Linked DNA regions of Arabidopsis thaliana. The protein of the gene in region 3 interacts with the protein of the main gene of each other region in a pairwise test. Each region holds a gene or a part of one and is shown on either strand. Other genes may lie near its edges.

Evidence for each region.
Region 1: the proteins of PNM1 (region 3) and GRL interact in a two-hybrid assay, tested with the Arabidopsis thaliana proteins (one study listed by BioGRID).
Region 2: the proteins of PNM1 (region 3) and TCP8 interact in binary tests that used the Arabidopsis thaliana proteins (3 or more experiments, as listed by UniProt).

The regions. Positions count from the first base shown.
Region 1 is NC_003071.7:14,799,297-14,807,755, forward strand, and holds the start of GRL (transcription activator), read right to left. Parts: upstream 4,555-8,459; 5' UTR 4,464-4,554; intron 4,249-4,463; 5' UTR 4,230-4,248; coding exon 3,828-4,229; intron 3,735-3,827; coding exon 3,660-3,734; intron 3,280-3,659; coding exon 3,199-3,279; intron 2,992-3,198; coding exon 2,911-2,991; intron 2,797-2,910; coding exon 2,714-2,796; intron 2,619-2,713; coding exon 2,534-2,618; intron 2,448-2,533; coding exon 2,322-2,447; intron 2,188-2,321; coding exon 2,080-2,187; intron 1,786-2,079; coding exon 1,511-1,785; intron 1,397-1,510; coding exon 1,264-1,396; intron 1,026-1,263; coding exon 915-1,025; intron 806-914; coding exon 727-805; intron 579-726; coding exon 385-578; intron 167-384; coding exon 21-166; intron 1-20. Other genes in the region: AT2G35120 (Single hybrid motif superfamily protein), read right to left, coding at 6,617-6,745, 7,143-7,405, 7,900-7,978; AT2G35130 (Tetratricopeptide repeat (TPR)-like superfamily protein), read right to left, coding at 8,293-8,459. UniProt on the Arabidopsis thaliana protein: Involved in regulation of actin and microtubule organization. Part of a WAVE complex that activates the Arp2/3 complex.
Region 2 is NC_003070.9:21,509,414-21,517,238, forward strand, and holds TCP8 (TCP family transcription factor), read right to left. Parts: upstream 4,777-7,825; 5' UTR 4,473-4,776; coding exon 3,267-4,472; 3' UTR 2,919-3,266; downstream 1-2,918. Other genes in the region: AT1G58090 (F-box and associated interaction domains-containing protein), read left to right, coding at 1,097-2,212; AT1G58110 (Basic-leucine zipper (bZIP) transcription factor family protein), read right to left, coding at 6,506-6,708, 6,846-6,972, 7,076-7,151, 7,243-7,825. UniProt on the Arabidopsis thaliana protein: Can specifically bind site II elements in the promoter region of PP438/PNM1.
Region 3 is NC_003076.8:24,526,061-24,534,229, reverse strand, and holds PNM1 (Pentatricopeptide repeat (PPR) superfamily protein), read left to right. Parts: upstream 1-4,197; 5' UTR 4,198-4,241; coding exon 4,242-5,807; 3' UTR 5,808-6,141; downstream 6,142-8,169. Other genes in the region: AT5G60964 (ECA1 gametogenesis related family protein), read right to left, coding at 3,306-3,644; COBL5 (COBRA-like protein 5 precursor), read left to right, coding at 6,225-6,291, 6,370-6,443, 6,515-6,947, 7,033-7,073; AT5G60945 (ECA1 gametogenesis related family protein), read right to left, coding at 7,594-7,932. UniProt on the Arabidopsis thaliana protein: RNA-binding protein that functions in both mitochondrion and nucleus. In mitochondrion, it is associated with polysomes and may play a role in translation. Required during embryogenesis.

The DNA.
Region 1 (8,459 bases), on a different chromosome or scaffold from region 3:
TATAAGGCCGGGAACAGTACCTGGACCAGTTATATGCAGCATTTCCTTCCGATAGCAAGCCCTCCTTCCCAGTAGAGACAGTGGCTTTTTCCAAATGCCTGATGTTTATCGATGATCGAGAAGAAGTGACAATCATCAAAATGGACAACCAATCTTTCCGGAAATCCTGTACAACAAGAGGCACTGAGCATTAGAAAATAGATTGGAAGATTAAACATATTAATTGTGTTGGGACCAGACTACAACTAGGATTTGAAGACAGGCCAAATGGGAAACATATGGAAACATGAGTGAATTAACTATATAGTGTATATTGATTATCTGTGAAAGAAAAATGCAATTGCATCATCTGACTTGAAAATAAGTGGATATAGTCCATCTTACAGATAGGTCACATGTGATTGCAGAAACATTTTCTCCCTGCGCCTTGGGTATACTTTCGAGATGTTGCACAATACGCTGAAAAAGGCCTTTCAAGGTAGGATCAAGGTCCAGAGCCACAATTCCAGGAGTACCCATCAAGTAACGAATCCTTCCAGCAGATGAAGAAAGGTATGATAGTGCATAACCTCGAGCAGCTGCATTTCAAATAACAAACACCATTAAGGTTACCAAATTTTGAACATCGGTACTGATCAATGAGCTGCAACGGGTCCAACACCAGAGTTTCAAGCTCATATACTTAAAAACCAATGTTCAAGGATGTGATATCTAAAAGTAACAAACCTGAGATGTACTTGCGCACTAAACAGCAGAGACGGTCCATTCCATCGAGCAGGAAGCCAATGGTAGGATCATTTGGATCCTAGGAAATAAGGAATGATAAATCAGTAAATAATAACCAAATTTTGAGTTCACTGAAAGTCAAAAGTTACAGTGTTGAGAGGCTTTCAAAGTTCAAGCAATCAACTTACTATGTCTACTGGTATCACTCGAGCAGCTTTGGATCTTGAGGATGCAATACCAGCATGTTGAAAATACCAGAGAACCTCAGATTGGGCCAAAGCCAACGCAGAGAATACCATCTAAGGGAAGAAAAGTAAATAAATCAATTATTGGGAAAGTTTAGGGAAGGGAAGAACTCTTATGAGTATAATGGATAGATCTATGCAGAGCATCAATGATACGTAGTTGACACAGAAATCTTGTAAAACTTTTCATTTGACACTTTTGGTAGATTAAATTCTATAGAAGCAATTTGTTTTTTCTTCTCAAACAAACCAATAGCTTCAAACCCTAATATGAAACAGACTAAACCGATACCTGAATGTTTGGAGCCAGCAAACTTGGTTGATCAGTGAAAAATAAAACCATCCGCCCTATTTCCTGCTTCAGCAATATTCTCCTTTCTCGGTGTATGGTATCACATAATTGCAATGCTTGCTCATGCACCTCACTGAAAGCAGCGACCAAACAAAAGTAAATCTATAAATTCAGAGCTAAAGTCACAAAAATTCTCCAGTATCAGATGAGGATTACAAAGTACTGAACTATTAAAAATTGGAGTTACCTGATCATTTTCTCAACTTGTTTTGCTACACTATATTCTAGATCAGCTTCCTTTTGTTTAGTCCGTCCAGACTTAGCCATCTTCTTTGATTCTAACACTCGGGGTAAAACATACAACTGGTAGTCTTCGTGCAACAGAATGTACTGCATAGTTAGATTAATAGAGTCAGCTGATGCAAAACTAATTCCAATACCAAACTCTTTTTCGCAGACCATTTGATATAAACTCACCTCATCCCGGAATAACGTCACGACTAAGTTTTCCTTTAGCACGACCTGAAATACAACAGGACAGTATTAGAGACAGCACGAATTACACGCAATCTTGATTTGTTTTGAGCATCAAAAACCTAACTCCATTACTAATCTTAAGTTAAACAAACACTGAAAATGAAAGCACTTAACATTTTACAAACAAAGGCAGAGAGAGGCAGAAAATTTCTGATTTGTGAAACAAATTTATAGAACCTATTATTGACCAGATAAGATAGTTTTCAAGATAGAATCCTTGGAGGAAAAACTTCTTTATCAAGATCACAATCGAGAACAAAATGAAAAACAGATTCATACCAGGGCGATATCAATGCTAGTAACACGAAGAAGCTCGTCGGGGCAAACGAGATATCCAAGAAGCACCCACTCTCGGTACGAAGTAACATTTGCAAGATCTTGCGCTCTCTGTAGGAACCAAGAGTGTATTATCTAATATTAGCACTATACATCGAAGTAGAGTTGTAAGGGAAAGACAATAGCATCCTACTAATTCTGAGAATCCTAAGCTTTTATGTTGATAATAATCTAGCCGTTCGTACCATGGGATGAGCAGAATTTGTAAGTATATCTGGGAATCTAGGATGATATGGGCTTAAAAATCCCTCATTTCTCAACTTCCTCGTATCTGCAGATAGAAAAATACTGGGTCCTACAGCCTCCAGGACCTAGGAAAATAGTAACGTTGTTAGTACTGCTGTATCAGTTGCAATATTAGCTCGTAGGATACCCGTGATTTGAATAAAATATTAACCTCTCCAATCCTTGGGCTGACAAAATTCAAATCTTCTTGTAAGCCTTTCAATGGGGGATCATAAGAGTCTATGAATTGCACCAAGCTGGATGCAAGACGAGGAGTGTTAATATATGATATCAGAGTCTATTGATTATATACAAATTAAAAATGATACTACAAGGAAAAAAACATCCATACCGGTGATAAAAGTCACAGTCTCGATCATTTCTTGATAGCGCATGCAGAAGGTTGTAGACTTGCAACAACATTTTCCTAGGAATCTACTTTGATAAAATAAACACTCTTACATATTGATAATAATGTAATGTCTCACATGACATGTGTAATCAATCCAAATAAACAAAGAACTAAGAAAAGGAACAAGCTCAGCATACCTTCTCTGCGAAGAGATTGACTCGGACAAATGCACAAAAGAGATCCATGAATGCATGCAGAATAAGTGAGTTCTGATGAGGCTGCAAAAAGCTGAACTAAGTTATGAGCTAATCATGAATACTCAACAATTTTATCTTCATCCTCACAGACATTTTTGACAAGTAAATAATAACTTAATGTACCAAAACATTTCATGACCTCCACCTAAGGTACGAGTTCAAAAGAAAGCTCAAAGTTTCAACCCAGAGCAAGTAAATACTTTCCGCAGATGAGAGACTTTGACTCACCAGCAAGGTAATTACAGTGCTGCTTAGGTCCAATATAAGCCGCAGTGCCTGTTCTCGAAATGCCATCAAGTCGAGCAGCAGCTGATTCAAGAAAAGAAAAATGCATGACGAGAGGACTATGAAGGCACCCCTTACTGAAATGCTACACACGAACTAAGGAAAGAAGGCTAGCAAATAACTACTCGTTTACATTTTAAAAGTTAAAACCATGTATTAGGTAAATCATATATGCATGCCCAGATATATAAAGCTGACTAATGGTGAGATGGAATAGAAGATTGAATATTGACTATATAGCAGACTGAAGATTGAAGATTGACTAGGTACACAAAGAAAACTAATAGAAAGATTGACTATATAGCATGTAGGACTTCCGAGATGCTTCACCATTCTCGAACAACAAGTTTCACAACAACAGAACGTAAACCCAACAACATATTACATAGATAGTTTCTTATTACCTGTATCCATGGCTCTAAGCTCTGTAAGTGAAGTTCAGCACCATCATGCAAGCTATCCAGTGAAAACTTATCAATCTGCATAAGTATTGCAGAATAAATCTTTTTTCATTTACCATCAGATCAACAAATCAAACAGTAAGTCTAATAAAAAAAGAACTCATGACTTACACGTTCAAGTTGCAATTTGCTGAAATGCTCAGGGAACTTTTTAGAGAGCAAAGTGCATATCCGTGGATGGTTAGGGAAGACACCCGCTTTCCAAAATGCTTCAGAGAATACATGGCCAACAGGATCAGGATACTCCAAGATTTGATTCAGTCTATACATTTTAGCCATGAGACCGTCAGCAACCTCAATCATTTGAACTACCCATTGTATGTTCAAAGCCTTTGTGGAACCACCAACATGTCCATCAATTTGCTTAGAGCTCCTAGTAGAAGACACTGATGCAGCCATTTCAGGTCCCAAGTACTCAGTCCATCTGGAAGGACCTTCCCATTCCCTTGATCTCACAGAAGTCGGGGACATTGATTCATCTTGAGATGGATAATATTGACGAGAATTCGCCATTAATTCAGTACAATAATCTCTACAATAAAGGAAAATGTATTTCAAAATCACGTTACACAATCTCGTCCAACATAATTTACTTAGCTCTCTACTCTTGCATTCATCTTCCAAAAACCCAGTAATACTCAACAACGAGTGACGAGTGAGAATAGATATCCCCTCGTCAATTTCCCAGCAACCAAACAAGGAGCTAAAACCAAGTCAAGCAAGAGTCTCGTGAAGATTGAAAGTTACCTGAGAAGCTTTAAAGGCGAAAGTCAAATCGAGCAAAAATGTCTCAGTAAGATCGGAGCTTCGTCTGAGAGTTCAGATCTGAATTTCTGCAACCTACTCCGGAGACGATGATGACGACGACAAAGAGGAGAGAGAGCGTCGGGCTTAATCGGAGTGTGTGAGCCGAGAAATAAAGAGTTGCTAAATTCGGGTCTCTCTCATTTAAGACAAAATTAGTCAGTAGAATTTCTTTCGTTTTCAACTAAAATGCAGATTTTTTTATTTTTTTTTACTCTTTTCTTGCTCAAGCACATTTTTTACTTTTTACCTGTAAATCTAAACATTTCCATAGGAAACGAAACAATGTAAGTAGAAGAAAATTATGAACAATTGAACAGCTGAAAGTGTTTATCCCTTTCAAAAAATAAATTGTTTATAAAATTTTAATAAAATATGAGATTTTTAGTTATATTGAATCGGAATTGTCTACTTGAATTTGAGCAGTGCAAGACAACATTTTTTCACTAGAAAAAATGATATTTCAAATCATGTGTTGTTTTGGTTTGATTGTAGTTATTTGGATTACAAGTTTTTTTTAGCAAAACTATAGGATTAGCTCCAACTATTGAGATTTTAGCATAACAAACCAATGTTCTTTTATCATATGTACATTAACAGAAGGTAAATTCAAATCTACGACATCTATTTCAATAATGAGGATAGCTAAAATAGAAAAAAGTATTTGGTATATTATGTAGTAAGTACTATTTTTAGTATTTAAAAGGAAAATTTCTGTTAGAAAAAGAACAAACGTTCTAGTTGGGTGGTTGAAATGTAAGTTTTCGAAGCTTTGACAAAATGAGAACAAGTCCCTTAACCGGTAATTTTTAATATTTAAAAACAATTAACCAAGAGAACAATATTGACGTCGACAAATACTAACTTGTAGTATATAATTATCATTATCTCTACATATGGAGTAGCTTTTAGGTGTAATAATTGTCAATTATTTTAGAATTACTGTGTTAAACTTTAGTATGATTCGACTAATAAATAATGTTTCTGACGTTTCTGATGATGAATTTGCCCCTCCCTCACTTTTTGTTGCGTGTCCAAAGCTCAGTGCTATCCAAGCATTTCATCTTTTCAACATAATTATTTGATTTGAGAATTTAATCATAATGTTGATATTACTTTTTTACTAATAGAAAACAATCAAACAATCAAATTAATAAGTAAATTAGTGGAAACCATGACACACAAAAACAACTTCATATAATAAAGTAGGGTTGACAACGCAGGAATATTGTATTACAAGGCACATCTTGTAACTTTGTTGGACAACTGTGGCTAAACAAGCTTGGCCTTCACAATAAGCAACAATGATTCCAAAATCTTTTCCCTCTGTGCACATATCATTGCATCACAGATTTTGTTTCCTTTCACATTATCTTTTGAGGTCCCTATGAACCAGAAAATAACAAAAAAACGGTTTTCACACGGTTGCTACAATATGACCGAACCTATATTCTTTATTCGCATGAATCTTCCATTAGCTTCTTCTTTGTACTCGGCTATTATCTTGGATTCCAATTTCTTCATCTCAGGACTGGGCAGTTATTTTACTGAACTCCAAATTAATTCAAGAGTCTACAAGTGTAGTTGCTGCCGTGCCTAGACCTACGGAGGTAAGGTCCATCTGAAGAGAAGCATTTTTCTTGTCAACATGTTATCTTATATAGTATGAACATTACCAATCCGGTGTACAATTGTTTATAAATAGATGGATGGTGGTCCAGTAGCATTTGATTTGGTCCCTCCAAAGGAGTTGGAGCTTGCTAAGCACTAAGCACTAGTTCAACCCGCTAAGGGTTATGGTTTTCGGTCCACGAAGATGTACTGTCCGAAACTTTTTGCAGTTAAGAAGAAAAAGGCATAACTCCATGAAAGATCCAATCAATTTCAACGCCAAAGCTCATTATTCTCTACCATTATTCAAACAATTTCATTTCATTAAAAGAAAAACATGAAAAGAAAAAAGGAGAACGAGAGATGGGAATTTTCAGTCCAAGGGACAAAGATGGAGAAATCTCGTTTTGATCCTCGATTGAGAAAACAACAATCTGTGTTGCGGTGGAAGCTTGGAGAAGGATGCTGGAAAAAATAGAAAAAGCTCAGTGCTTGGCGTCTTCTTCTTCGCAGAACTTAGAGTACTTGTCTGAATCCATCAGCTTCTCTGCCTCGCCTGCATCACTCAGCTCAACTTTTATGATCCATCCTTGTTCATACGGGCTAGAGTTCACCTGTGAATTCCAACAAAAGAATCTCTCAGCTCGAGACCACAAAATCAAGAATCTCCAAGTTAACGATATTTAAGCAAGCTATTGATAAATCAAATCTATATTGGTTCTCAAAGATCAAGAGTTTCACATCAGCTAAAAGCCTAAAACTTTCCAACACTCACTTATGTAAATAATTTGATCTAGACCTACGAATCTTGAAGACACTTACATTTTAACAGCTGTTGAATAATCAAGTATTTATGCAAAGAATGTTACCCGAGGAATGAATTTGTTAGATCACATGAAAATGACACCCGCAAAACTAAGATTTCGGATTTGATCATGCCAATGAAGTTCTTTTTGGTTCAACACATGGAGTCAATGGTAATATGATTCTGAGTCTGAGATGAGTACTCACCAATCCAGGGGACTCGGTCAGCTCCTCATTGACTTCAACCACCTTACCCGAGACTGGAGAATTGATATCGCTAGTTGCTTTCACACTTTCAACTGCTCCAAAACTCTTCCCTTGTGACACCGAATGTCCTACATCAGGTAACTCCACATAGACCACATCTCCTAAATGGTCCTGCGCGTGATCCGTTATACCAAAGGTTGCTTTATTCCCGTCAATCTTCACCCATTCATGTGAATCAGCATATTTCAAATCCTTCAAAACCACTATAATACACATGCCAACAACAACAACAAAAGAGAATATAATCAGTAAGGTTAAATGGCAAAATAATCAACATTCCTAAAACTTCTTGAAGATCTTCCTTCTCTGTAAACAACATGTTTCAGGCCCAAAACAACAGATTTTCAAAATCTTCCCCAAAACTACTTCAAGAATAAAACTTTAGAGAATAATGCGTATAACATGAACATATCACTCACTACCTCCAAGTTTCTGAACACTTGTAAGAAGATTATCATTATTAACAGAGAGACTCGAGAAATCATATGCAATTTCTGGGATTTGATACGAAAAGGAGAAATATTAGCTAATAGCGATATCCAGAGACAATCAATCCAGCAAAAAGCAAACGCTTTAATCCGATCAGAAGTCGAGAACAAACCAAAAACCAATAAGTTCAAATAGAACAATCTCAGATCAAAAACGCAGAGTAATCAACAGAGGAGATCAAACAAAGAGAAAGGAGATTGAGATTCACCGGAAGAAAACCCTCGTTGAGCAACGGAGATCCTTAGATGAGAAGCAACCCTAGAAGCCCAAAAGAGTCTACAAGCCATTTTTTCGTTGGAGAGATCTCGCACAGATACACAACAACAACAGTGAGAGAGAAAGAGTGCACTCACCGAACGGCTTATTATTATATTCTTACGACAAAGGGTTTGGTGGATTTGCTTTTTTTTTTGCTTATAAAAAATGTCACTTTCTGAAATCATTTGCTCGTAGACCAATTTCGCATCAACTACCCCACTAAAGCAACATCGTGGGTAATGACATAAAACCATATATTATAACACTGTTCAATAGATACAAGGATTCTGATCATAAAAATCCAACCTTTATTAATAAGGCAGATCTAAAAATGCTATCTTTATCAGTTTACAGTTAAAGATTTAGCCATCAGCTTTGGGACAAGAGAACTCACAGTCACGCCCTTGTGCATTGTTCTAAGCACTGAAGTAACTTGTTCCACTTGCTCTTCACTAGAACAAGCCGAAAGAAGAACCTTGGCTGTTCCTCCATCTGGTGCACAACCTGAAT
Region 2 (7,825 bases), on a different chromosome or scaffold from region 3:
ATATAGAGATCGAGTAAAGTCAAACAATTCAACTGAACAAAACATACTTGTGTGATTCGTACATCATCAACAGGAGGATACTAGAGAGTTCTATAGGACACAAGCTTATCAATCAATACATGCAACACATATATCAGATTTTGCGTTGATGAAGAATCACAAATTCATATGAATAATGAGAGCTAGGTGAATGTTGGTGCAGGAATTGACACCTCCGACAATATCGGTTTAAACCGGGGGAGAATGTGAATAAAATCGAGAATTCAATTTAACCGGGGTACCCCGGTTAGCCTGTTAATGGGCCTAAGTAATGAGTTCGCCAAAATACCTAATTCGACAGCTGAGATCGCCCAGCCGACTTCTTGAACCTCGGAAAGAGAAGACTTCCATTTCGAGAGAAGATAATTTTATGAAGAATAGAAGTAATGAAGATTTAGGTCTTAGATAATTAGAAGTTTATCATATTTTGACATGACCAGTTTATTGTATAAATAGAGGAGTTTTATCCTCCATTACGACCATCTTTAACCTTATACAAGAGATCACTCTTTACAGAGCAAACCCTAACTTTTTACCCAAGTAACCTTGTTCTTTTCTTTTGATCATTCGCGAGCTAAGAGAAAAGTGAATTTGTCTAAATCCTTTAGTATAAATTTATTGTTTAATTACACAATCAACAGTGAATACTACAAGACACGAGCAATTTGCATCTTAACCCCAAGAGAATTCCACATCGTTCCTTATATATACTCTAAAGTCTAAACAACCAAATTCGATTTAGTAATTAAGCTCATCGCTAAAAGAACATATATATGACATCATTAGTTATGGATTATAATTGTATGTCTATTAGGAATCACGAGACACGAGTAGAGGGCTTCAAATATAGGAAGCAAATAACGGAACCTTACCTTGCGGTTTAAATTGGCCGGCCGTTTGGTAGACGAGCCAATTATATATTATTCTCAAATATTCTTTATATAACATATTACGAAAATGAAATAATTGTTACTCTATCTATGTAAATATATTTTCTTCCATTGCTTCATTTTCAAAGAAAACCCTAATGGTTCCAACCAAAAAAAAGAAAACCCTAATGGTGTCGAAAAAGCTTCCATTAGATCTGGAAGAAGAGATACTCTTTCGAGTTCCACCTCGATCTCTCGTTCGCTTCAGATCCGTTTGCAGAGAATGGAACACTCTTTTCAAGAATAAGAGATTCATCAACAAAAACTTTGCTTGCGGTCGGCCAGAAATCATGTTAAATACACATTCACATATTTATTCGATAAGCGTCGATCTCAAAGACGAAAATCCAACTATAAAGGTGCGTGATTTACGCTTTGATCATTTAAGTTGCCGCGGTTATCATCTGTATGGGATCTGCGATGGTAACTTCTTCATGTATAGCTTTCTTAATGGAGGCGGAGGCGTTGTTTGGAACCCGTTGTTTTGGAGACAGACTAAATGGATTGCCAAGGCTGAGAATACATGTGGCAAGGCCATTGGTTACGATGGTAGTAGACCCGAAAAGAGTTACAAGATTATCGGAAGGAGTAGTTGTTCTTGGCAGGGTAAAGTTACTGATACATATTCAGTCTTCGAATTTGCAACCAATGCGTGGAAGGTTACTGATCATACCCGTTTTCACGAAAAGCCAGAATTAATGGACGACTCCGGTAGGGTCTCCCTGAATGGAAATTTGTACTGGACAGCTTATAATTCTCCCCACACTGGTCAGTATTTCATCGCAATGCTCGATTTTTCGAAAGAGATAGAAAAGAGTCGAAAGACCTTTTGTGTTTTACCGTGTAAGGGGGAAAAAAGTACTACACATACTCGTATCCTCTCGATTTACAAGGGAGATCGGTTTTCAGTGTTAGAACAATCCAAAAAAACAAGGGAGATTGAGATTTGGGTGACAAAGGATCAAATTGGTAACGGGGATGATGGAGACGATGTGGTGTGGATTAAGTTCATGACAGTCTCAAGACCTGACTTCCCCATATTACTTAGTTACATCTCTACAAGTTACTTTGTCGATAATGATATCCATGGGAAGAGCTTTGTTCTGTGTTGTCCTAGCAAGAGACCTAAAGCAGCTTGGGTGTATATTGTGAGGGGAGATTTGTGCAAAAAGATTAAGATAGATCAAGTGCTATGTGAGTTTCAATCCTCTGTCTATGTTCCCAGTTTGATCACCATTCCTTGAGAGTTGAGAGACTTTCGCTGAAGCTAGTACTGAACAAGAAGAACTTTTACAAGTTTTAAATTCATTGTTGCTTTCGTATTATTTAGATATTATTTAATAAAGCTTTTACAGGATTGATTTCCACAATTTGTTCGGCCTAATTCGGTTAATTGATAATCTAATTTGTGAGCATGGGAAGATATACGACGTCCTTTCTCTATCAGTGATTCCTGTTTATATACACTATAACCTATCGCTCAAATTAGGAGAATACTGTAACCAAGGAAGTTATAACATAAGCCAAAATGTTAGCGCGGACTAGGACAAAAACAGAAAACTAACTTAGTGCGTGTATGTTGTCTTAGAATAATATCATGTGTACAAAATATTTGAACCAAACAACTATCTATTTCCCCAAAGTTAGTTTTAGCACTCCATTGAAATTAATAAGAGAACGGAAGCCCAGTGACACTGAGTATTGAAAATAAACATTAATGAGTAGATGTATACAACCTAGCTTGCTTAAACCATCTAGGCATGTTATTAGAATATCTATCATGTAAGTATCCAAACTCAATTTTTTCCAAGTAAAGAACAGTGTGTCTTATATTATATACATACTAGTGCCTTGAAAATCCTTGTGCCAGAAAAAAGAACAGTTGCAGAAGACCTTGCTCGATCGAAAAAGAAATCAAACAAAAGTAGCATACAGAAAAGAAGTGAGATCTGTCACCAACTCTTTCACTGGAACTTATTAATTGCGATTAATTATGCAATTTTTATTCTTTTGGTTTGAATGCAATTTTATCCTACAAAAATATAAGAAACTCAACAATGAAAACTGAAAAATCGAAAAGACTATCATTCCTTCTATACATTGAAAACATTCTCTACCCATGAGAGTCCATTTGGACCCAAACCTAACAATTCCTTCACACATAAATTGTTCTTGTCTAAACACTACTAAACAACAACACACAAAATCTCACAATAAAACAATCAACCAAACCGCTACAAACGCTTTAAATCAATTTCTTACCACATTCAATGATTTCACAAGATTAGTTTACATCACTCACTCAGAGCTATTTGAGTTCTCCTCTCTACTATCATCATCATGATCACTCTGTTGCTGCTTCTCTTGATGCTCCACCGCATTGTTCGCTTGTTCCGCATTCGCGTTTGCGTTTCCGCCTCTTGAATAAGCCGAGTTCAAAGCGGCTAACATCCCGAGATTCGAGTCCGGCATACTTAGTCCTAAGTTCTGAGTCGGCTGCGGCTGAGCTAAAAAAGAACCTAACTGAAGTGGACTTCCTCTGTACTGATCCATCGGAAAACTAAACCCCGTTCCCGCCATAAAGTGAGTCGCTGCTCCGCCTCCACCTCCCGCTCCTCCTCCAGCAGAGTTCACAAATGGCCACATAGGAGGAGCACGGTGGCCTGCGGCGGTGTTATTGTTGCTACTACTCTCCATTTGATTACCGGCCGTTGTCGGTACCGGAAGCATCCAAAAAGTGTTCCCAGCACCAGACCTACTCGGCGGCGCAACCGCCCACATCGGCGCCGCCGTAGGACCCGACGTTTCACTTTCTTTCAAAGATTTATTCTCGTTCTGTTTCCGATCATCGTTTTCTTTAGACAAATCAACCGATCTATACCGTTTCCTAGAGAAATTCTCACCTTCAGGAATAGTTTCCACCGGATCTTGATTCTGATTCTGGTTCTGGTGGTGTTGAAGCTGATGATGAAACCCTAAAAGCGGCGACGTATGAGCAGCAAACACACCGCCGCCTCCTTGTTCATCATACTGATGATGAGTCAATCCAAGAGCACCGTAAAGCGGCACCGATTTCGACGGCGGAGCAGAGAGAGTCGATCCACTACTTCGTAACGAAACACTTAAAGTAGAGAAGTTCGCCGGAATAGTTCCTGTACCTGTAGCAGCAACAATAGCTGGCTCAGCTTGTTGAAGAAGCCATTCAATAGTTTCACCATCGGATTTATGACCTAACTCTCTCGTTAACTGAAAAACTCTAGCTGCACATAGCGCCGGCATACGAATCCGACGTCCTCTTCCGTCGACTTTCGTGTGACGGTCTTTAGTCGACCGCTTCGTTGTAGTCGCCGTTGCCGTAGATGAGGTTGTTGCGAGTGTTGAGTCTTCGGGAGGTGTAGATCTGGGAACGATTGAGAGAGATGCGTCAACTAGCTGTCTTGCTCCTCCTCCGGTGGCGACGGCGGCGGTGTCGTTGTTGTTGTTTCGGATGTCGGAGAGATCCATTTTCCGGTGAGAAAGAAGGGAAAAGAAGATGAAATTGAAATTAGGGTTTGGTGAAAGAGGAAGAAACGGCCATGGAAGCTCCGATTGTCGCCTTCAAGTTTGACTCTTGTCTTCTTCTTTGTCTCGAGAAGAGAGAGAGAGAGATGAGAGAAAAAAAGGTTTGATGATGTAAAAGCAGGTGGATGACTTTTCCAGCAAGAGGATATTATTATTAAAATAAATAATATATATGCCGTCATTAACATTAAATAAAACGTTTATTGATTTTTGATTAGTTATTATATAAATCAAAAAGTAATTAGGGGAGAAAAATAACTTTTCACAATTATTTTAAGTCTTTTTTATCAAAATTCTACCCAAATATGAGTTATGTTATTTTTCAATTACATTATTTTCATCACAACATTATTGTTTACCAATTTTAGAGCACCAATAAAAAAAGGTTTAAAAAAGATTTGTGGATTAAGAAAGTTAGAAAGAGAGAGATAAGCATCTTTCAGACAGTGAAGCGTGCGTATTTTTGCAGGTGGGGACAGCTCATTACAATCCACCTCCGTATCTCCATTTCACTTTTGTCTTAAATATTTTTAGTTTTATAAGATTTTGTTAAAAGTATATCCATTAGATAAATGACACTAAATTCTTTAATTAGTTATATAGTTTTGGGAAAAAATGCACTTTCAAATCGTTACAGCTTTTTGTTTTAGACGTTATTTTGGTTATAGATTCATTAACATATCAGTTTGTAAGAATTTGGATCACAAATTTGATCATTCAACCAAATTAAGAAAGACATCAAACGTTACTCGTCAAGAATCCCAAAGAAAGGATGGACAAAAACTTATCTAATTTGGAATTTTCTAGTATTTAGAATTTATGAACCGGTTGAAATGGGCCGGTCTGTTGTGGCCCAAACCCGAAAAATTATTTATGAACGGGTTTCCTCCTAATTTAATATGGTAAGGCGTTGGGGTATTTGGGTCTTTTTGGGTTTACGGTTCAGTTATTTTAAGATTTCAGATTCAGATCGGGTTTTTTTGGTTTGGATTCGAGTTCATCCGGAATATCCAAAACTCAAAATTTTGTATCAAAATATATTTAAATTACTTGAAAATACACAAAAAAAATTCCAAAAAACTTGAGTATTTTCTATCCGAATCTATCGAAAAGTAGGTAAAATATCCAAAATATATACAAAATCTAATATTTTATGCACTTAATAGTTGTTGTAAATATGATTATTACTAATAAATTATTTTTATGTATATATATTTCAGATATGTTCAGAAACTTGATCGGATTCGGGTTTTGTAGTTTAGGATCTGATTAGGTATTTTAAAATTTTGGGTTTGAATTCAGATCGGGTTTTTAGGGTCAGGTTCGGTTCGGTTCTTCGGGTTCGGGTATTTTGCCCACGCCTACCAAAAACATTTCTAATGTAGCCGTTTCAGTTTCCTCTAAAACCAAACGACAACAATGCTAACCAGTTTACTTTCTGATAACAATTGAGTTGATATAGGCCCTTCAAGAGGCTTGACAAAGAGCAATGAAATAGCTGTAAATGTGCATATAAATTAAGTGCAGATCTGAGGCAATCAAATATTTTGACGCTTGGGGATAGTACTACAGAAAATGGCAACAACTTTACATGAAGCATTCACTCGAAGGGAATGCACCATTTTACAAGTAACATAAAATACAACAGTGGGTATCATAGTACAACTCCAGAGATGAGTCCGGGTTCGAATATATTCGTCCCATATATTACACAAGTCGCTACAACAATCACCAGATAAATGAAGTCCAGGTGTCTGATCTTCGAACTAAACCACCTCAGGCAAGCCATCTCCTGGAAGTAATATAGGATTTCCAGGTGCACTGGTGAGTTAACTTGTCAACCATAAGAAAAGAAAAAAAAAGAAACGACGGGGGAGTTAAAAACGTCTGTGGTGAGGCGGTAGATAAGGGTCTGATCTTGTTGAGTCGCCAGGCCCTTAAGATCTCTAATGAACCAGTGGGTAGAGAGACATTTACTAAAAGTGGAATTGACCCATCACAGATACAGAGTCACGCCTACAGTTGGAATCTTTGGTGTTCAGTGAAAGACTGGAGAACTGAGAGTCGAGATCTTTGCTAGTAGCACGTCCGCGACTGGCTGATGGTTTTTGAGTTTGTTGTTGTTGCTGATACAACGCTCGTAGTCTCCCAATCTCCTTTTCCAACACTTCTTGTTCCACTGGATAATAGACAGAACTCATGAGGTATACAATCTTAAGAACTGTTGAATCTTGATAACTAGCTAATACTTACAAACTCATACTCTAGACTATAGTTTGAACCTTAAGAACCTAAAAGAAACTGCGAGAAACTTACATTGTTTGATAAGCTTCTCCTGAGCTATACTTTCGAGACGCTTCTTGAGAGCTTTATTTTCCATACTCAGAATAAGATTCCTCTGGTTGAGAAAATCAAGTTCAGCTGAAACTTTGGAGCCTTCTGCCTATAGTCACAAAATAAAATCCATACTTCAGTGCTGCACAAATTGTAATCTACTACATCTTTCACTTACTCTCTCTTTGAATGCAAGTTTTTTTGAGCCTTACCTGCAATGTCTGTACATTTCTTTCTAGCTCAGATATGTACTGGAGCTTACGGACCCGTGATCTTTGTGCAAATTGCCTGCAGGGAGCAGCAAACTAAATGAGTACTGATCATTCTATATTGCTTTGAATAGGTACATCAATCAAGAACGAGTAAAGAGATCACAAACTGTTTGGCTCGTTTTGTGTTGTCAGCTTCATAAGTCACAGGCGAAGGATTGGAGTTGTTTTCCTCAGAAGATAACATCTTTGGGTCATGAGAAAAAGGTTCAGCATAGTTCTTTCTTTCTGACGATATTACTGTTGCATCTTGAGACATATATAAAGCTCCCAAGTTTTTTCCGCCACCGTTCTCACGAGCGAAAGGTAACCAAGAAGGACAAGCCCCAGTTGCCACCAAAGAATCCCGCTGACGACTCTTCTGTTTCAGAAAACTAGCACCAGAGTAGAAGGCAGCATCCTGAGCATTTTTATTCCGGTCAAGCTCTTGGACTCCTCTTTGAGTGGATAAAACAGTATTCCTATAACTGAAATCATTTTGGAGAGTCAAACTTATGTTTGTAGCATTAGCCACATCTAGATAAGCGTAAGAGTCACTTGATGAACGCCGATGACCACATTTTCGAGCAGGGCTTTCCGGCTGCTCATTGAGAAGATCATCAAGCCAAAAGGGAAGCTCTTCTACCAAATGGCTCTCGGAGGAAGTTCGCTGGTGATGTGTTTTCTCATTACTAAGCTTCTGACCATGTCTTG
Region 3 (8,169 bases):
GCTGACTTTTGATCATCAATTTCTCAAATATCAAAGTTCAAAAATAATCGCTGGTAGTCTTTAGTCAACACACAACTGATTTCAACAAGAGAGCTAATAAAATGTGATATGATTATATTCATAAGTTCATTCACATTCACGTGTTTGAGGCGGGAGAGAGATTATATTTAGGGCGAAAGCAATGCAGAGATATATGCATGTAAAAGAGTGATCATACGGATCAACATGCTTATTTACAGTTCTCAACGTTTTCGTTATATTCTTAATAATTCCTCACTTTAATTAAATACTGTATTCATTTTGTTTCAAACTAAGTTCTATGTTTTTTCACACAATTTTAAGATTTTTTCTTACACATATCTATTCCACCGTTTAGTTATTTTTTGAAATAATAACAAAGCTATCAAACAAACTTGACTTTAAACATGAGAAAAATCTAACTTAGTTACTCCAAATTGATTCTTATAACTTATTATTGGTTATTCTCTTCCTTTTTTTTTTTTTTTTTTTTTCTGTTATGCATGTATCCACACTTAACTTTTTTCACAAACTTATACAGTCTTTTAAAAATTATACTACAAAAATAATCCTTCATTTATTAATCTATTGGGTCCTATGATTCATATCACATATTATTGTAAGAAAGTAAAAAAAAAAAAAAATTGTCAATAATATGCTTCTTATTCGTATATAACTCTAGTGTAGACTATATATAGATTATCTCCCTATATATTTCCTTATTCTACTAAATAATTGGATATATAATGTTGACACATGATATATATAATAGTGGAACCTCCTTATAACCTTGAGGTCGTGGTAGTAAATTCGTAATACCACCAAAATCAAATAAATAAGAATAAATATGTAAAGAAAAAGGAGAATTAAGTAGATGATGGTGAGTATTGGGATTGGAGGGTCAGAGAAGGAAAGGGAAAGAAGAGAAGCAGTTAAGACAGCAACTGAATTGCAGTCAAGCACTGATCCCTATCTTCCAATATTAGTCATATCCCTCTCTCTCTCTCTCTTTCTTTTTCAATAACTCTCTCTCTTCTCTCTATCATCTTCTCCAAGTTGTAGGGTCATTAACCTTCCATTGGTAAATTATTGGTTTTGAAAACATAACTTATTTTTCCTTTTTGGTGGTCCTTTTGATCTTTTCTAAATCATGTGTTTAGATATAGATGGGCACACACTTGTCAAGAAAATTCAAAGATTCGCCATTTTTTTTCCTTTTCAACCAAGATGATCTATAAATTCGTACACCACATCTCTTCTAATAGTTAAAATTTATATTCTCATACTTAAATAAGTCTTTTAGTTCGCGAGATTGGGTTTACAGTTTGTATCAATTAAAAAAATGGTTGGAATTCGAAAGTTATACATTCTCTAAGAACCGTGTTATTGAAAAAAACCTTTATAATTCTCTAAAGATAATTAAATACTAATATTTTGTTATTGCAGTGAGACTCACTGTAAGAGCATGCGATTTTTTGAAAGAAAAAAACTTACAAGGGGCCTATAATGATAAGCGGTTATCTTATCTTACATGTGTGGATTACATTATATATGTATATATATATATATATATCTTAGTTAATTAGAGGAGAATTGTAGTTGCTCAAGAGAATATGTACGTTTTGTAGAATCTTTTAGTGGCAAGAGATAATTTATCTTAAAATGGGATAATATACATGGTCCATATGATTATAAACTTCTTTTTCATCACCGGCATGCTTCAAGTTAAGAGATGAAGAAAAAAAAAAACAGGCCCACTTTATTTCATTTTCACATAATTCACTCACTTAGGCATGCAATTCTTTTTGTTTTATCCTTTTTCTTTTTCAATATTTTTTCTTTTCCCGCAAAAATTATTATGTATGCTACATTTTTTAATCATATTTTATGTAGGCCAGTATAAAAACCGTAATAAAAAAATTTCAAATAAACATTTTACCAATTCTACATTTATATCGACATGGAGATCTATCTGAACCTCATTTCTCAATATAGACTGTATAATATATATACAGTTTTGCTAGATTTTTCACGGTACGAAATAATTTTGTTTTCTAGTTATAGTTAGTTAATTGGAGTTGTTGTAATTTCCATATAGTCTACATGTTTAGTTTGATGTCGATATAAATATTAATGCCTTTTATGTCATTTCTTGAGTGTTGGATACAAATAACGATCATTCTCCTAACTCCAAACAAGTAATTAGGAGATTAGGTTCGAAATATATGTATTAGGAGATTAGTTTAGCACACATCCCTGACGATATATGTATTTGGAAGCTTGTTAGGAACCGACATTCTCATAGCCTATGCTGAGCATCTGACTAACCCAAAATGATGACGACGTGAGATATATTCGTAAGCAAATTATGTGGAGGACCGGGACATAAGCGCACAAAGGGAACACGCTATTGGGCTGTAAAAATAAAGGAGAAAGAGCTCACAAATTTTCTAAAGAAGACAAAATCAATATGAGCCCCCGGCGAGGATCGAACTCGCGGCCTTTCGCTTACGAAGCGAACGCAATACCACTATGCTACGGAGGCATCCGAAATTATAAAGGTATTTTTAATATATAATTCGGTTCGTTTTCCATATTTTCCAACTACTGCGTGACGATAAACTAAAAGCTTAAGTGATGGGTTCAGGGTTCTTCATGTACTGATGTATAAGACTCATAATATTCATGTGCTGATGTTCACATGAAGATAAATATTATGAAAAGAACCTTTGTGACTTCATCACGATATATAAGACTCACATGCAACCAAAGAAAATGATCAAGTTAGAAGAAGACTCACAAATTTCAAAATAATTTTTTACTTTTGCTACGGAGGTCTCTGGAGGCCAGGGAGACACGGTTTCATGAGTCATGATTGTTATCTTTTCAAAAATATAGATATTATTAATATGTTATTATTTTCTCCTATAGTGTTACCGGCTATAAAATAAAAAACTTGAGAGTTCAGACGTATTAGAATGTGTGATTTCCATCATCCAGACATAATCTGTTCACCATGTTTGCTGATTTGAATTTCAATATTCGTAATTATAAATACATAAATTTTTTAAGAAGATTAACCTTGTAACTATTTGTTTATATGTCTATGTCCATGTAAAGTATCATATTGTCAACTAAATAAAGATGAAACACAGAAAAGTGAATGTTGTAATGCTATTATTGTATAATTGTAGTTTTTGAGTACAACATTTAGCAAATCAACTTTATTTTTGTTAAAAGACTTATATATATATATATATATATATATATATATATATATTAAAATTCTATTTTCTAACAACTTTTAAACAATGATTTCTTATGAAAGAAGGAAAATGTGGCATGTATGGAATTTTTGGCAAGCAGTAATCTCTGGTATGTAAATATGCCTTGCAACAATAAGGACTAATCACCCATCGCCTATTAGATACGGATTGAGTAGTTTCTATAACGCATATTGGAAATTTCATCACAGATGAATAACATTTGAATATACGAGAAAATACTGGAAAACTATTAAGTAACGGATATGGATCAGTAAAAATAGACGAAAATGGTGGCCTTGCATTTACGGAGACTATAATGCATATGACCATTAAAAGTGAAATCACATTTTTAATAGACATACTGAGATATTGAGAAAAAATAAAGAAAAAAAACTTTGTTAGTATAACAAAATATATGTTTAGTAGTTGATTGATGAACAACAATAAAATCCTTGCCTATTTAAATGGAAGGGAACAAAACTATGGTATTAATTATCTTGATTAACGTCTTTGAACTCTTTTAATAGCACTTATTAATTAGCAGTTTATAAAATTGAATAGTGTTAAAACTTCTAGAAACGAACAACATTTAAGTAACAAATATAGGAATATGTTAATTCTATGAGGACTCTATGTATTAATTAAATTAAAAAAAAAATGAATAATAAAATTATAACATGATTATTATTAGAGTAGGTGGAGGTGCGGGGAATCGAACCCCGTGCCTCTCGCATGCGAAGCGAGCGCTCTACCATATGAGCTACACCCCCATTTTGAGTAAAAATGAAACAGATACATAATAAATTCAAATTAAACAATCAAAAGGGGCTTAAGCAAATCAAGGCCCGAAACGAAGCCCAATTACTCAAGATGTTCCTAAATCCTGAACTAGGGTTTTATTCTATTTCCCTTTCTCACTAACTCTCTAGTTACCAATTTTCTCTCACTAAATCAGAAATGCCGCCGTCGTTACCGTCTCTGCAACTCCGACGGCTTCTCCTCCGTAGCTTCATTTCCTCCTCCTCCGTCAATACTCTTCAATCTCAGCCCCGTATCATTTCTTCCAAGCCGTTGTTTTCTCCTCTTCCCCCTTCCCGTTCCTCTATATTCTCAACATTTCCTTCTAGATTCTTCTCATCTGAAACGAATGCGGAATCGGAATCTTTGGATTCGAATGAGATCGCTCTCTCTTTCTCGAAGGAGCTCACCGGGAATCCAGACGCCGAGTCTCAAACCATTTCGCAGAGATTCAATCTCAGCTTCTCCCACATCACGCCTAATCCCGATTTGATTCTCCAAACTCTTAATCTCTCACCGGAAGCTGGTCGCGCGGCTCTAGGTTTTAACGAGTGGTTAGATTCGAACTCTAACTTCTCTCACACCGATGAAACAGTTTCGTTTTTCGTCGATTACTTTGGCCGTCGGAAAGATTTCAAAGGAATGCTAGAGATCATCTCGAAATACAAAGGTATCGCCGGAGGTAAAACACTAGAATCGGCGATTGATAGGCTTGTTAGAGCTGGTAGACCTAAGCAGGTCACTGATTTCTTCGAGAAAATGGAGAATGATTATGGTTTGAAACGTGATAAAGAATCACTTACCTTGGTTGTGAAGAAGCTTTGTGAGAAAGGACACGCGAGTATCGCAGAGAAGATGGTGAAGAACACTGCTAATGAAATATTTCCTGATGAGAATATATGTGATTTGTTGATTAGTGGATGGTGTATTGCTGAGAAACTCGATGAAGCAACTAGGTTAGCTGGTGAAATGTCTAGAGGAGGATTTGAGATAGGAACCAAAGCGTATAACATGATGCTTGATTGTGTTTGTAAGCTTTGTAGGAAGAAAGATCCTTTTAAGCTTCAACCTGAAGTAGAGAAGGTTTTGCTGGAGATGGAGTTTCGTGGTGTACCTAGAAACACAGAGACTTTCAATGTGTTGATTAACAATCTTTGTAAAATCAGGAGAACTGAAGAAGCAATGACATTGTTTGGTAGGATGGGTGAATGGGGTTGTCAACCAGATGCTGAGACTTATCTTGTTCTGATTAGGAGTTTGTATCAAGCAGCGAGGATCGGTGAAGGGGACGAAATGATCGATAAGATGAAATCAGCGGGATATGGTGAGCTTTTGAATAAGAAAGAGTATTACGGGTTTCTCAAGATATTGTGTGGGATTGAGAGGCTTGAGCATGCGATGAGTGTGTTTAAGAGCATGAAAGCTAATGGATGCAAACCTGGGATCAAGACTTATGATTTGTTGATGGGGAAAATGTGTGCGAATAACCAGCTGACTAGAGCTAATGGTTTGTATAAAGAAGCGGCTAAGAAAGGAATCGCTGTTAGCCCTAAGGAATACAGAGTAGATCCACGGTTTATGAAAAAGAAGACCAAGGAAGTGGATAGCAATGTTAAGAAGAGGGAGACTTTGCCTGAGAAAACCGCGAGGAAGAAGAAACGGCTCAAGCAGATCAATATGAGTTTTGTTAAGAAACCGCACAATAAGATGAGACGGAGAATGTGATGCTGATGAATCTTCAACATCTGATAGAATTTTCTAAAGATTATTGTCTTTGTTCTTTCCTTTTTAAGATATTGTCAAGAGTACTCATCATTTTGCTTGATCATGAGCAAATTGTCCCAATAATCTTTTGTTTTGTCTCAGTGTAACGTTTACTAAGAGTTCATGCTTGGCTCAAGAATCGGAGGTAAAATTAGGTTTCTTGGTTAATTGAATGCTTCTCTTGTACATCCAAGTTGAGTTTAATTATAACGGATCAAGTCAGCTAATCTTTGTTAATTATCTAATATATTAAAGTTAAAACAAGATCCCGTGTATAAAGGCATATCAACGTGCAAATGTATACTAGTCAAAGTCGTCGCCTTGATCTATATTCTTACAAAGTCTCTCTCTGTCTCTGTTCACATCGGAACCACAAGAATGGAGTCTCTCTTCTCCACGATGATTGTCCTGCTCTTGGTTTCTTTTTCCTGTCTCATTTCTACAGGTAAATTTCCTTGTACACAATCACCTGCATTTGTCTTTTCTAAAACTTCAAAAGTCTTTTATGTTCTTTAATCTGCAGAAGCTCTCACCAGCAACTATGGAAACATCACAGTCAAATGGGATCTCTTGAACTGGACGCCTGATGGCTACGTTGTAAGTTCTTCTTCTTCGTGTCTCACAAAATCTCAGAGTCTGCTTTAACTTCAAAATTGACTCTATCTCAGGCAGTGGTTACAGCCTACAATTACCAGAAGCAACGTTCGATTCCAGGATGGAAAATGAGCTGGAGAGGGACCAAGAAAGAAGTGATCTGGAACATGTTGGGTGCAAAAACGACAGGGCAAGGAGGTTGTTCCATGTTCAAAGGAAATATCCCGCAGTCCTGCGTTCGTAAGCCAACAGTTGTCGATTTGCTTCCCGGAACTCCTTTCAATCAGCAGATCGCTAATTGCTGCAAAAGCGGTGTCTTAAAACCTGGTTCAGAAAGTGCATTCCAGTTATCTGTTGGTAGCGCTGGTAACTCGGTTAAGACTGCTCGGATGCCGGCAAACTTCATGTTCACGGCACCTAAACAACAGTACATATGTGGACCGAGTAAGAACGTTAGACCAACGAGGTTTACAACCGCCGACAAAAGGAGAATAACTGCAGCCCTAAGTAAGTTTCACAACAAAAACAAACCTCGACAAATCTGTAATTCTGATTTTGAGACTCACCTGCTTCTTTTTTTGTTCTTATGCAGTGACCTGGAACATTACTTGCGTCTTCCACAAAGCAACATGAACAACGCAACTCTCCAAAGGAACATTATCATAAGCAAATCTTTCTCCAGAGTTTATATGGATTTGTATTATCATGTATGGTTTATGTTTTAAGAAAATAAAATACACTATTTTAATTATTTTCTTCCATAGTGTGTTACCGGCTACAAAATCAAAGACTTGAGTGGTCAGACGTATTAGAATGTGTGATTTCCATGATCAAGACATATTCTATTCACCATGTTTGCTGATTTGAATTTTCAAATGTTCGTAATTATAAATACATAATTCTTTTTAAAGATTAAACCTGTAACTATATGTTTATATGTCTTGCAAAGCGTGGATGCTTTCAGTAAAGTTTATTAACTAAAGAAAGATGAAACATTGAAAAGTAAATGTTGAAGTGCTATTATTTGTATCATTGTAGTTTTTGAGTACAACATTTACCAAATCAACTTTATTTAAAATATAATAACTTTAATTAAAATATAATAACTTTATTTTTGTTAAAAGATTCACATATATATAGATATATTAAAATTTTACTTGCGAACAACTTTTTTACAATGATTTCTTATGAAAGAAGGAAATTTTGGCATGTAGGGAATTTTTGGCAAGCAGTAATCTTTGGTATGTAAATATGCCTTGCAACAATAAGGACTGATTTCCCATCGCTTATTACGTACGGATTCAGTAGTTTGTATAACGCATATTGGAAATTTCATCACAGATGAATAACATCTGAATACATGAAAAAATCCTGGTAAACTATTAAGGTACGGATATGGATCAGTAAAAATAGACGAAAAAAGTGGTCTTGCATTTACGGAGACTATGATGCATATGACCATTAAAAATGAAATCACATTTTTAGTAGACATACTGAGATATTGAGAAGAAGCAAAGAAAGAAAACTTTGTTTAGTATAGCAAAATATATGTTTAATGGTTGATTTATGAACATCAATAAGATACTTGCCTATTTAAATGGAAAGGAACAAAACTATAGTATTAATTATCTTGATTAACGTCTTTGGATTCTTTTAATAAACATTTATTAATTAGCCGTTTATAAATTTGAATAGAGTTGAAACTCCCAAGAGTAAAACGAACAACATT